Linked DNA regions of Oryctolagus cuniculus. Each later gene encodes a partner of the first gene's protein in a complex. Links are inferred from orthologs where the notes say so. Each region holds a gene or a part of one and is shown on either strand. Other genes may lie near its edges.

Evidence for each region. Proteins that work in one complex are often made in the same cells at the same time.
Region 2: the proteins of LTK (region 1) and ALKAL1 are in contact, whole or in part, in a crystal structure (PDB 7NX0), measured with the Homo sapiens proteins. The link is inferred for Oryctolagus cuniculus from reciprocal best matches to the Homo sapiens genes LTK and ALKAL1. Residues at the interface, in NP_002335.2 of Homo sapiens: Tyr124, His140, Phe143, Ala250, Ser251, Pro252, Glu253, Leu359, Phe360, Leu361, Gln362, Leu364, Ala365, Val366, Glu368, Glu372, Glu374, Arg376; in NP_997296.1 of Homo sapiens: His93, Arg96, Leu97, Asn100, Thr101, Arg102, Glu103, Arg112, Arg115, Leu116, Arg119, Leu120, Ser123.

What each region holds. Positions count from the first base shown.
Region 1 is NC_091443.1:64,598,239-64,602,650, reverse strand, and holds the start of LTK (leukocyte tyrosine kinase receptor), read left to right. Parts: upstream 1-1,508; 5' UTR 1,509-1,709; coding exon 1,710-1,752; intron 1,753-2,233; coding exon 2,234-2,377; intron 2,378-2,480; coding exon 2,481-2,652; intron 2,653-3,048; coding exon 3,049-3,199; intron 3,200-3,336; coding exon 3,337-3,483; intron 3,484-3,698; coding exon 3,699-4,113; intron 4,114-4,412. UniProt on the Homo sapiens protein: Receptor with a tyrosine-protein kinase activity. Following activation by ALKAL1 or ALKAL2 ligands at the cell surface, transduces an extracellular signal into an intracellular response.
Region 2 is NC_091437.1:77,162,925-77,167,019, forward strand, and holds the start of ALKAL1 (ALK and LTK ligand 1), read right to left. Parts: upstream 2,903-4,095; 5' UTR 2,728-2,902; coding exon 2,538-2,727; intron 1-2,537. UniProt on the Homo sapiens protein: Cytokine that acts as a physiological ligand for receptor tyrosine kinase LTK, leading to its activation. Monomeric ALKAL1 binds to LTK, leading to LTK homodimerization and activation.

The sequences.
Region 1 (4,412 bases):
GGGGCAACAGCCTGTGGGCCCCAGTGTACCTGAATACTCTTGGGAATGAGGGTCCCTCTGGAACTCAGCATTCCACTAGGATAGGTGTCCTTAGTGAGCTCAGCATCTACTCTGATGGCCCCCTGTGTGTGCCTGCTGCTATCCTGAGACATGAAGCCACAAAGACTGGGGCAGTGGCTGCCGGCATCAGCATTTGCACCGGGAACTTTCTGGGTGGTGGGCCAGAATGGGGGAGGGGTAGATGAAGCATACACTCAGACACTCCTCTTTATTCTGGTGGTTTCTATGTGGTTCTTTTCTCTGAATTCTAGCACTTAGGCTTTCTGATGTTGTTTGCTGTGTGGATTACTTATAACTGTTAGCAGGTCACCAGAGTGAGTGTAATGTGCCTTAACTCATCCTGTCAGTAGGTAGAAAGAACCCCTCCCCATATATGGAACTGCTGAACACAAAATGGTCCAACAGGTTTCATTAACCTTGTACGTACTGTATTTGCAAATAGCAATGGTTCTCAAATTTACCTGTCACAAACCACCATGTTAAGAACCAGTCGTTACAACAGGCGTTGTGCTGCCCTGTGTAAAGCCACTTGGGATGCCTGCAGCCTGCAAAAGTGCCAGGATGCCAACCCCTACTCCACTTCCAATCCAGCTTCCTGCAGATGTGCTTGAGAAGTAGCCGATGATAGCTCAGATCCTTGAGCTCCTGCGACCCACTGGGAAAATGGGATGGAGTTCCTGGTTCTTGACTCAGCTCGGCCCAGTCCTGGCCGTTGCAGCCATTTGGGGGAGTGAAGCAGTGGATGGAAGATTTTCCCTCTCTCTCTCCCTCCCTCCATCTCTCCCTCTCTCTTTGTGTGTATGTATATGTCTCACTCTGCCTTTCCAATAAATACATCTGAAAAACAAACATTGCTGAGTGCTGCCACAGAGGTTCGGGTTCAGTAGATCTGGGGTGAAAGTGGGGAATTTGCATTTCTAACAGGTTCTCAGGTGAAGCTGATTCCATTCTCCAGGACCAGCCATAGATGGAGGCCTTATGAAGTCAATTCTGTGACCTTGTAGAAGGCTTTCTACAGAGCACATCGGCACATGGGTATCAGAGTTTTGCAAAACCCAGTGTTCCATCTACACCCAGCAGTGCGGATGTACACTAAATCACTACCATAGTGGCTTTTTTTCAAGTGTGTTATATTAAGCACGGGCATCGGCCTTTGGTGGTGTTTTGGGCAAATGATTGAAGACAACACAGAAAGCCCTCCCAGCTGGGGGGTACCCGGTGGTTTACAGGGCGCCGACAGACACGGGTAAACACAGCGCCGGTGCCTTCTTAGGCGCGCTTTAGAGCGCTTGTCCAGCTCAACCACCTCCACCATCGAGGCGCACGCCGCGCTGCCGGTGTCCTGAGAAATCCCGAAGCCCCCGCAGGTGCCTGGGGTGAGGCTTGCGGCTTCCCCACGCGCCTGCCCCAGAGGGCGGTGCGCCTCCTCCCCGGCCCGCAGGAGCCCCTGGGCGGAGCCCCGCGACGCTCCTCCCGGAAGAGTGCGGACCTGGCTGCCCACAGGCCCCGCCCTTTCCTTCCTCGGCGTCCCGGGGTCTGAGGTGGGCGTGGCCAGGCGGCTTTAGGTACCCGGGCATCTCTGCGGCCGGACACTGGGGCCGCGGCTGAAGGACCAAGCCAGCAGCCCCCGCCCCGGCGAGGAACAGGTGATGGGCCGGTCGGGCCGGCTGCTGCTGTGGCTCGGCGCCGCGGGTAAGTGCCGTCTGGCAGTCCGGGGGCCGCTCAGGCCGGGGCGCCTTCCTGCTCCTGGGGATCGCGGTCGCCACACACCGGGTCCCGGTGGCTCCTCCAGAGGCCTGGAATCCTGGCGGCCCAAGCTCTCCGGTCTGTGCTCCTGGGGTGCGGGATCACGCATCTTGGGAAGGAGGGATAAACCCGGCGGTTTCAGCATCTCCCTGGGGCGGGCCGCAGTCCAAGCCCAGAAAAAGCAGGCAGCGCCTGCAGACCCACGGGTCATCACTGGCGACGGGCAGAGGTATCGGGCTCCGCGGGCCTGGCGGATGGAGCGGGGCTGCGCCGGCGTCCATGCTGGACATTGGGCATCGGCAGGGCGGGACTAGGGGTGTGGCCACGGGCAACCCGGGCGGGCTGTTGGGGGTTATCCCTCTTACCGCCTCCCCCATTACAATCCTACTCCCTATCCCAACACTGCTGTTTCCTTGTCACCTTCCAGGCGCCATTCTCTGCTCCAGCTCGGGGTCCCAAGCGCCTTCTCTGCCATCCTCACCACGGCCGCTGTCCATTCCCAGCGCCCAGGACCCAAAAGTCACCACCCGACCTGGCAGCTTGGAGCCACCCTTTCCCCTAAATCCCCTAGGTGAACTCGGGGCTCCTCTCTGCTCTTCTGCGCGCCATACCCAGACTCTCCCAGGCCGGGCCAGGGGCTCCGTGACCTCCTCCTCCCTTCCCGCTTCTCCCAGGCACCGAGGGGCCTTGGCTGTTCTCCACCTGCGGGGCCAGCGGCCGACGCGGCCCCACACAAACGCAGTGTGACGGGGCGTACGCGGGCAGCAGCGTGGCGGTGACGGTGGGCGCCGCGGGGCCGCTGCGAGGTGTGCAGCTGTGGCAACCGCCCGGCCCTGGGCAATACCTGTAAGTGCGGGTGCGGTGGGTGGGTGGTGACCCTCAGGCCCCAGATTGGGCAAGAAGGTCAAGCTCGGGCGACCTTGCGTTCTGAGGTCCTCCAAAGCGATGTCGGCCCAACCTGTGTGACCCCACCGCCTCTCCTTCCTAAGGAACCCGATCAGCCGGTACCGGGTCCCTAACCAGCCGCCGATGGCTTGAGTCTGCCCCGTCTCCATTAACTCCTGAAATAAACGTGAAATCGAAATCGTTGGTGTACAAACTTAGTCTTCCCAGCCCTTCAGAGTTGACTACATCCTCTCAATGGCCCCCAGATAAATCCTGGAGGTGCCCCGGGCTCCCACCTTTAGGCTAGACAGCGGGCGTGAGGACCCAGGCCGGAGCACTCAGAGTCGTGTCCCACAGGATCTCGGCTTACGGAGCCGCGGGCGGCAAAGGCGCCAAGAACCACCTGTCGCGGGCACACGGCGTCTTCGTCTCCGCCGTCTTCTCGCTGGGTCGCGGGGACCCACTTTACATCCTCGTGGGGCAGCAGGGAGAGGACGCCTGCCCCGGCGTAAGCGTCCCCGGCTCTGCTTACTCCTGGGCGGCTCGAATGCCCGGGGCGGGGGCCGGTGTGGGAATTGGGGTTGGGGGTCCTTCCCGAGGGGTGCGGACGCCAGCTCAGCCTGCCCCGATCCCTGGGGCCCGCAGGGGAGCCCGGAGAGCCGGCGCGTCTGCCTCGGAGAGTCCTGGGCGGCTGAAGAGCACGAAGCGACGGATGGGCCCGAAACGGTGCCTGGGTCGAGGCGCTGGGCCGGGGGCGGCGGGGGCGGCGGGGGCGCCACTTTCGTCTTCCAGGTAGGTGCCCCCGGCCTGGCCGCCCTCGCCCCGACTGCCCAAGGTTGAGTCCTGATCCTCTGCCCCAGTCGCGCACAGCCGCGCTCTGTCTGCTCCCGGAGGCCGCCCGCTCCCTGGCCCCAGCGGCGAGCCCTCCGTCCTCGTCGGAGCCCCGGGTCCTGGTCCTCCCTGGACGGCTGCGGGGCGCGCGCCTGAATGCGCGGCTGGCCCCACAGATGCGCGAGGGCGAGCTGGAGCCGCTGCTAGTGGCTGCCGGAGGCGGTGGTCGGGCCTACCTGAGGCGGCGGGACGGAGGCCGGACTCAGGCCGCCCCCGAGAAACTGGAGAACCGCTCAGCAGCGCCCGGGAGCGGCGGGAGAGGCGGGGCGGCAGGTGAGGGCGCGCGGCCGCGGGCAGGCGGGCGTGCACCGCATCCCCGCTGCCGGCCACCCTGCTGTTCCTCCGCAGGTGGAGGCGGCGGCTGGACTTCGCGGGCCCCCTCGCCGCAGGCGGGCCGCTCGCTGCGGGAGGGGGCCGAGGGCGGCCAGGGCTGCGCCGAAGCCTGGGCTGCCCTTGGCTGGGCCGCGGCCGGCGGCTTCGGGGGCGGCGGAGGGGCCTGCACCGCGGGAGGAGGCGGCGGCGGCTACCAGGGTAGGTGCACCGCTGGGGAGGCCGCTGGGCAGCCCCAAGGAGGGAAGCGTGGTTCGACCCTCAGAACAGGTCTGTTCCTCCCGGAAGCGAACTGAGTAGGAGCTTTTCAGATGGCAGATGCCACTAGCAAACAGGACTCCCTGGGTTTTCGTTTAAATTCATGACCTTTTGCATCTCAACAAATTCCCTGCTCGTTCCGCAGCCAAAGCTGGCCGTTAGCGAGCCGAGCAGGGAGGCAGACAGGCAGGGATGGTTTAGGTCAGTGCTCAGCTGTAAAATGGGAGAGGCCCAGCCTCCAC
Region 2 (4,095 bases), on another chromosome or scaffold:
GGAATCTTCATGGCCCCCTTTGCTTGCACATGCACTGCTCCTGATCCTTGGAACCATCATGCGTGTCCAGGGAAGAGGTGGAACCTACTGAAAAGGAAATGCAGCAAGAATTGCAAAGTCCTGGGCACCTACATTAGGCCTGGTTGATGATACTACAGAGTAATGGGGACAGAACTGCAGCATCATCTGTTAGGGATGAGATTCCTCAGCCTCCAGGAGCTGGAAGATGCCCCCTGATGAATGAACTATGAGCACTGCCACACTCTGTGTCCAGAGGGGTCCTTTGTCCTTTTCTCACATCCTGCTTGTATCTGATTCACATCCAAGTGTTCCATACACAGAGATAGGATTGTAATAAGCCATCATTTTTCTCCCCACATCAATAAAGTACAGTGATCCAAAGAGGAGGCCATCATGAGCAGTTACAGAAAGCAATGGATAGAGCCAGTGTTGTGGCACAGCAGGTTAAGCCACCACTTGCAGTGCTGGCCTTCCAATACTGGAGTGAGTGCCAGCAGGAGTCCAGGCTGCTCCACTTCCAATATAGCTCCCTAATACATTTGGGAAGGCAGTGGTGATGGCCCAAGTGATTATGCTCTGCCACCCCCATGGGAGACCCTGATGGAGCTCCTGGCTCCAGATTAGCCCAGTACCTGTTGTTGCAGTCATTTAGGGAATGAAGCAGCAACACACTCTCTCTCTCCCCTTGATGCTGTCTTCAAGTAAATAAATAAATTTTTTAAAGATTTATTTATTTATTTGAAAGTGAGAGTTACACAGAGAGAGAAGGAGAGGCAGAGAGAGAGGTCTTCCATCTGCTGGCTCACTCCCCAGTTGGCTGCAGCGGCCGGAGCTGAGCTGATCTGAAGCCAGAAGCCAGGAGCTTCTTCTGGGTCTCCCACACAGGTGCAGAGGCCCAAGATCTTGGGTCATCTTCTACTGCTTTCCCAGGCCACAGGAGAAAGCTGGATCAGAAGTGGAACAGCCAGCTCTCAAACCAACAGCCATGTGGGAAGCCGGCACTGCAGGCAGGGGCTTTACCCGCTATGCCACAGCACCGGCCCCAATAAATTAAATCTTAAAGGAAAAAAGCAGTGGGCTTTGAAGGTGACCCACAGGTCAGTTTCTGCCAGGCTCCATTGTTTTCTGTAAACTTTCATGATTGCCATTATTAATAAAATTCTCCATTTTCTCTCATAACAAACTCAACTTCTCTTGAAACCAAGGAGAAAATATCTACTTGACTTCAACAAAACAAATGGTCTGGATTAAGTGACATCTTGGTCTCTGAAATAAATATTTGGGCTCACACCTGTTCTAGTCCCAAGGGCTCTCCACTGGCAGAGTGACAGGCTCTGCCCAGGTCCTCCACACACCAGCTTTCCAGGCCTTCTCACTCCCCCTCAACAGCCCACTCATTCATTCTCTGTGTGCAGCAGCCTTCCCCACCCACTTTCACACCCAGAATGTGCTGGGGCACAGCAGACACCTGTCACCTGCTCCTCTGGGGAGCCTCAGCCCTCTACATGACGGCATGTAACAGGGACTTGATGGACATTTCTGGAGGAAATATTGTTTGTATATTCATAACTATGATGGAAGAGAAAACGATAGGAAGAAATCCTTCTTTGCTATCTTAAAAGGGAAACAAGTGGCCAAAGGGGCCTTAGGAAAGTGGCACATTGGCCAGGTGGAAGCTGCCAGGCACGCTGAGGTGCTGAAAGAGGGGTCCTTCTGCTCCCAGCCAGGGCCAGCAGCTCCACCTTGCTCTGTTTTTGCAGAGTCTAAACAACAATCATGTTGGAGCTGCAATTTTTGTTTCCTACAGCCTGCCTTCCTGCCCCTCCCCTCCATCCAACAGCCCAGTCATCCCCTCTGCCCCCCTTTCCTCCTCATGCACACCACTTCTTCACCTTTGGGTGTCTCAGGACCCTCCCTCGTGTCTGTAGTGTCCACTTTCTCTCCCTCCTTGTCACCCCCTCCTCCTCAAGCATCTAAGGAGCAGAGTTGATTTGGGAGCAGCCAGCAGCATTTGGGACCCTTGTACAATGACCTAAGTCAGAGCAGTGGGTGGCCAGCCAACCACTTCATGGGGCCAGCTTGAAGGCATGGAGGAGAGGAGCCTATCTGGGCACGTTCAGGTGTCTGGGGGCAGTAGTCTTGGCTAATTCTCAAAACCCCAGCAGACCAAGAAATGAGGCAGTCACAGGTGCACAATAACCTGTCCACTACCCCCTTGGCCGGTGGGATGGAAGCCCAGGTCTTTCGGCTGCTCGGCCAATTATTTCCAAAAAAGGCCTCTCTCACACCTAGCAAGGGGGCATATCAAGTTGATTCTTTTTCCAGCTGGATTTCGTTACTTAAGTGTCAACCATGGTAAATCGATTAAGTCTATTATCTCTTCGTCTAGGAGCTGGATATCTGCAGAGAGTTTGTTCTCTGCTTGCTTAATTCAGGCTTCCCAAAACAAGCGCCCTGCCTGGTTTCTAGAGTAACCCAGTAACACCCAAGGGTTGGGCAGACGACGTCCCTCTTACCTGCGCTCCGGGAGGCGCTGGGAGCGGGGCCGGCCCCGGCCGCGGGGACAAAAAGCAACGTCTTTGGCTCCTCGCCCGCCACACGCGCTCCCCGGCGCCCCTGGGGCCTTCCCTGCGTACCGTGTGGGGACAAAGCCAGAGTCAGAAGGAGGAGCGCGGGTAGCGGGGCGCCTGGCTTAGCCGGCCGCATGTCCGCGCGTGGAGGAGCGAGAGTGCCGGAGGTTCCCGGAGGATCCCGAGGCGGGGACCGCACAGTCTGCAGCCCAGGAGAGTGGTGGCGGGAACGAGATCTCCGCTACCTGGCCGAAAGGAGTCCTCCCTGCCCGCCTGCGTCCGGAGCACGTCTGGCTGGGGAAGCACTAGGACTTAGCCCGGTGCGTGCCGGAGCATGTGCGCCCCGGGGGCGCGGGGCGGGGACGGAGGCGGGGCGCCCGGGGACCACGGGGTAGTCCGGGGGGAAAAGGGCGTGTCCCGGCACAGGGGACCCTCGGACAGAGCCTCTGGCTCAGCCTGATCGTCGGGGCTCCCTCCGAACACCGCCCGGGGCGCGGGACCACGCACTTGTATCCCCCGTCTCCGTGTCCCCCGCGTCGCACCACTGGTTCTCGTGGGACTGAGTCCCTCGCTCGCCCAGCTCTGTTGAGTCTCTCTCAGTTCACGGCTTCACGGGACCGGCGGGGTGAACAGAACAGGCAGCTTCCAGGTCTGGATGGGAGAAAACTGCGCCAATTTTCAATCTGGGAGCAGGCGGAAAGGTGTGGAGTTCACTTTCTTCAGCAGGGACCCCGGGTTCCGAGGGCAGCGTTCTCCCCGGGGCAGGGCGTCGCTGAAAGCGCAAACCATAGGCGCCCAACTGCCCGCCACCCTAGGCATCCACGGGAAGCGTCGGTTTGAGCGCTTCGGCAGGTGAAATCGCTGAAGTCGACCAGAACCCCCAAGAACGCAGTGTTTCCAAGTTAGGGAATTCTCGGAGATTAAATCCACCTGTTCTTATCAAAATAAAGCGAGCAACTGTGATCAAACTGTGTTCTGTTAATTATTGGGGACTGCTTTGTCAAGAATATTGAAAAGTGTTGGAACTGCTTGTCAATCAATGGATTGCCAATGATCTCATATGCAAAGTGGCAAATAGGGGGTCCAGGGAAGGAGCAATCAAGAAAAACCAAGGTCTCTTCACTCATGAGTCCTTGCCCAGCATTACTCTACAAAGAGACCTTGTCCATCACAAACCTTGAAAAACATAGCTCAACTGGTACAATAGTTTATCTAGGCTTGGCAATTCCATCAGGCCCAGGAAACTAGGGGCAAGAGCAAGTTTTACAGAAGTCTTAACTGCAATGCTTGGGGGAGTTACACAGGTGGAGACAGCAGCTTCCAATTTCCATTTTTAAAATCAAACATTTTTAAAAGAAGACAGAATTTTAAAAGGCATAAGTATTCAAAAAAATCTATCACTACATCTTCCCAAAATTGTTGATAAGCATAAATTTTGTTTAAATCATCTCTATTTCCATACATACGTATTTTGTACCTTCTTGGATAAAAAGGCTACTCTCTC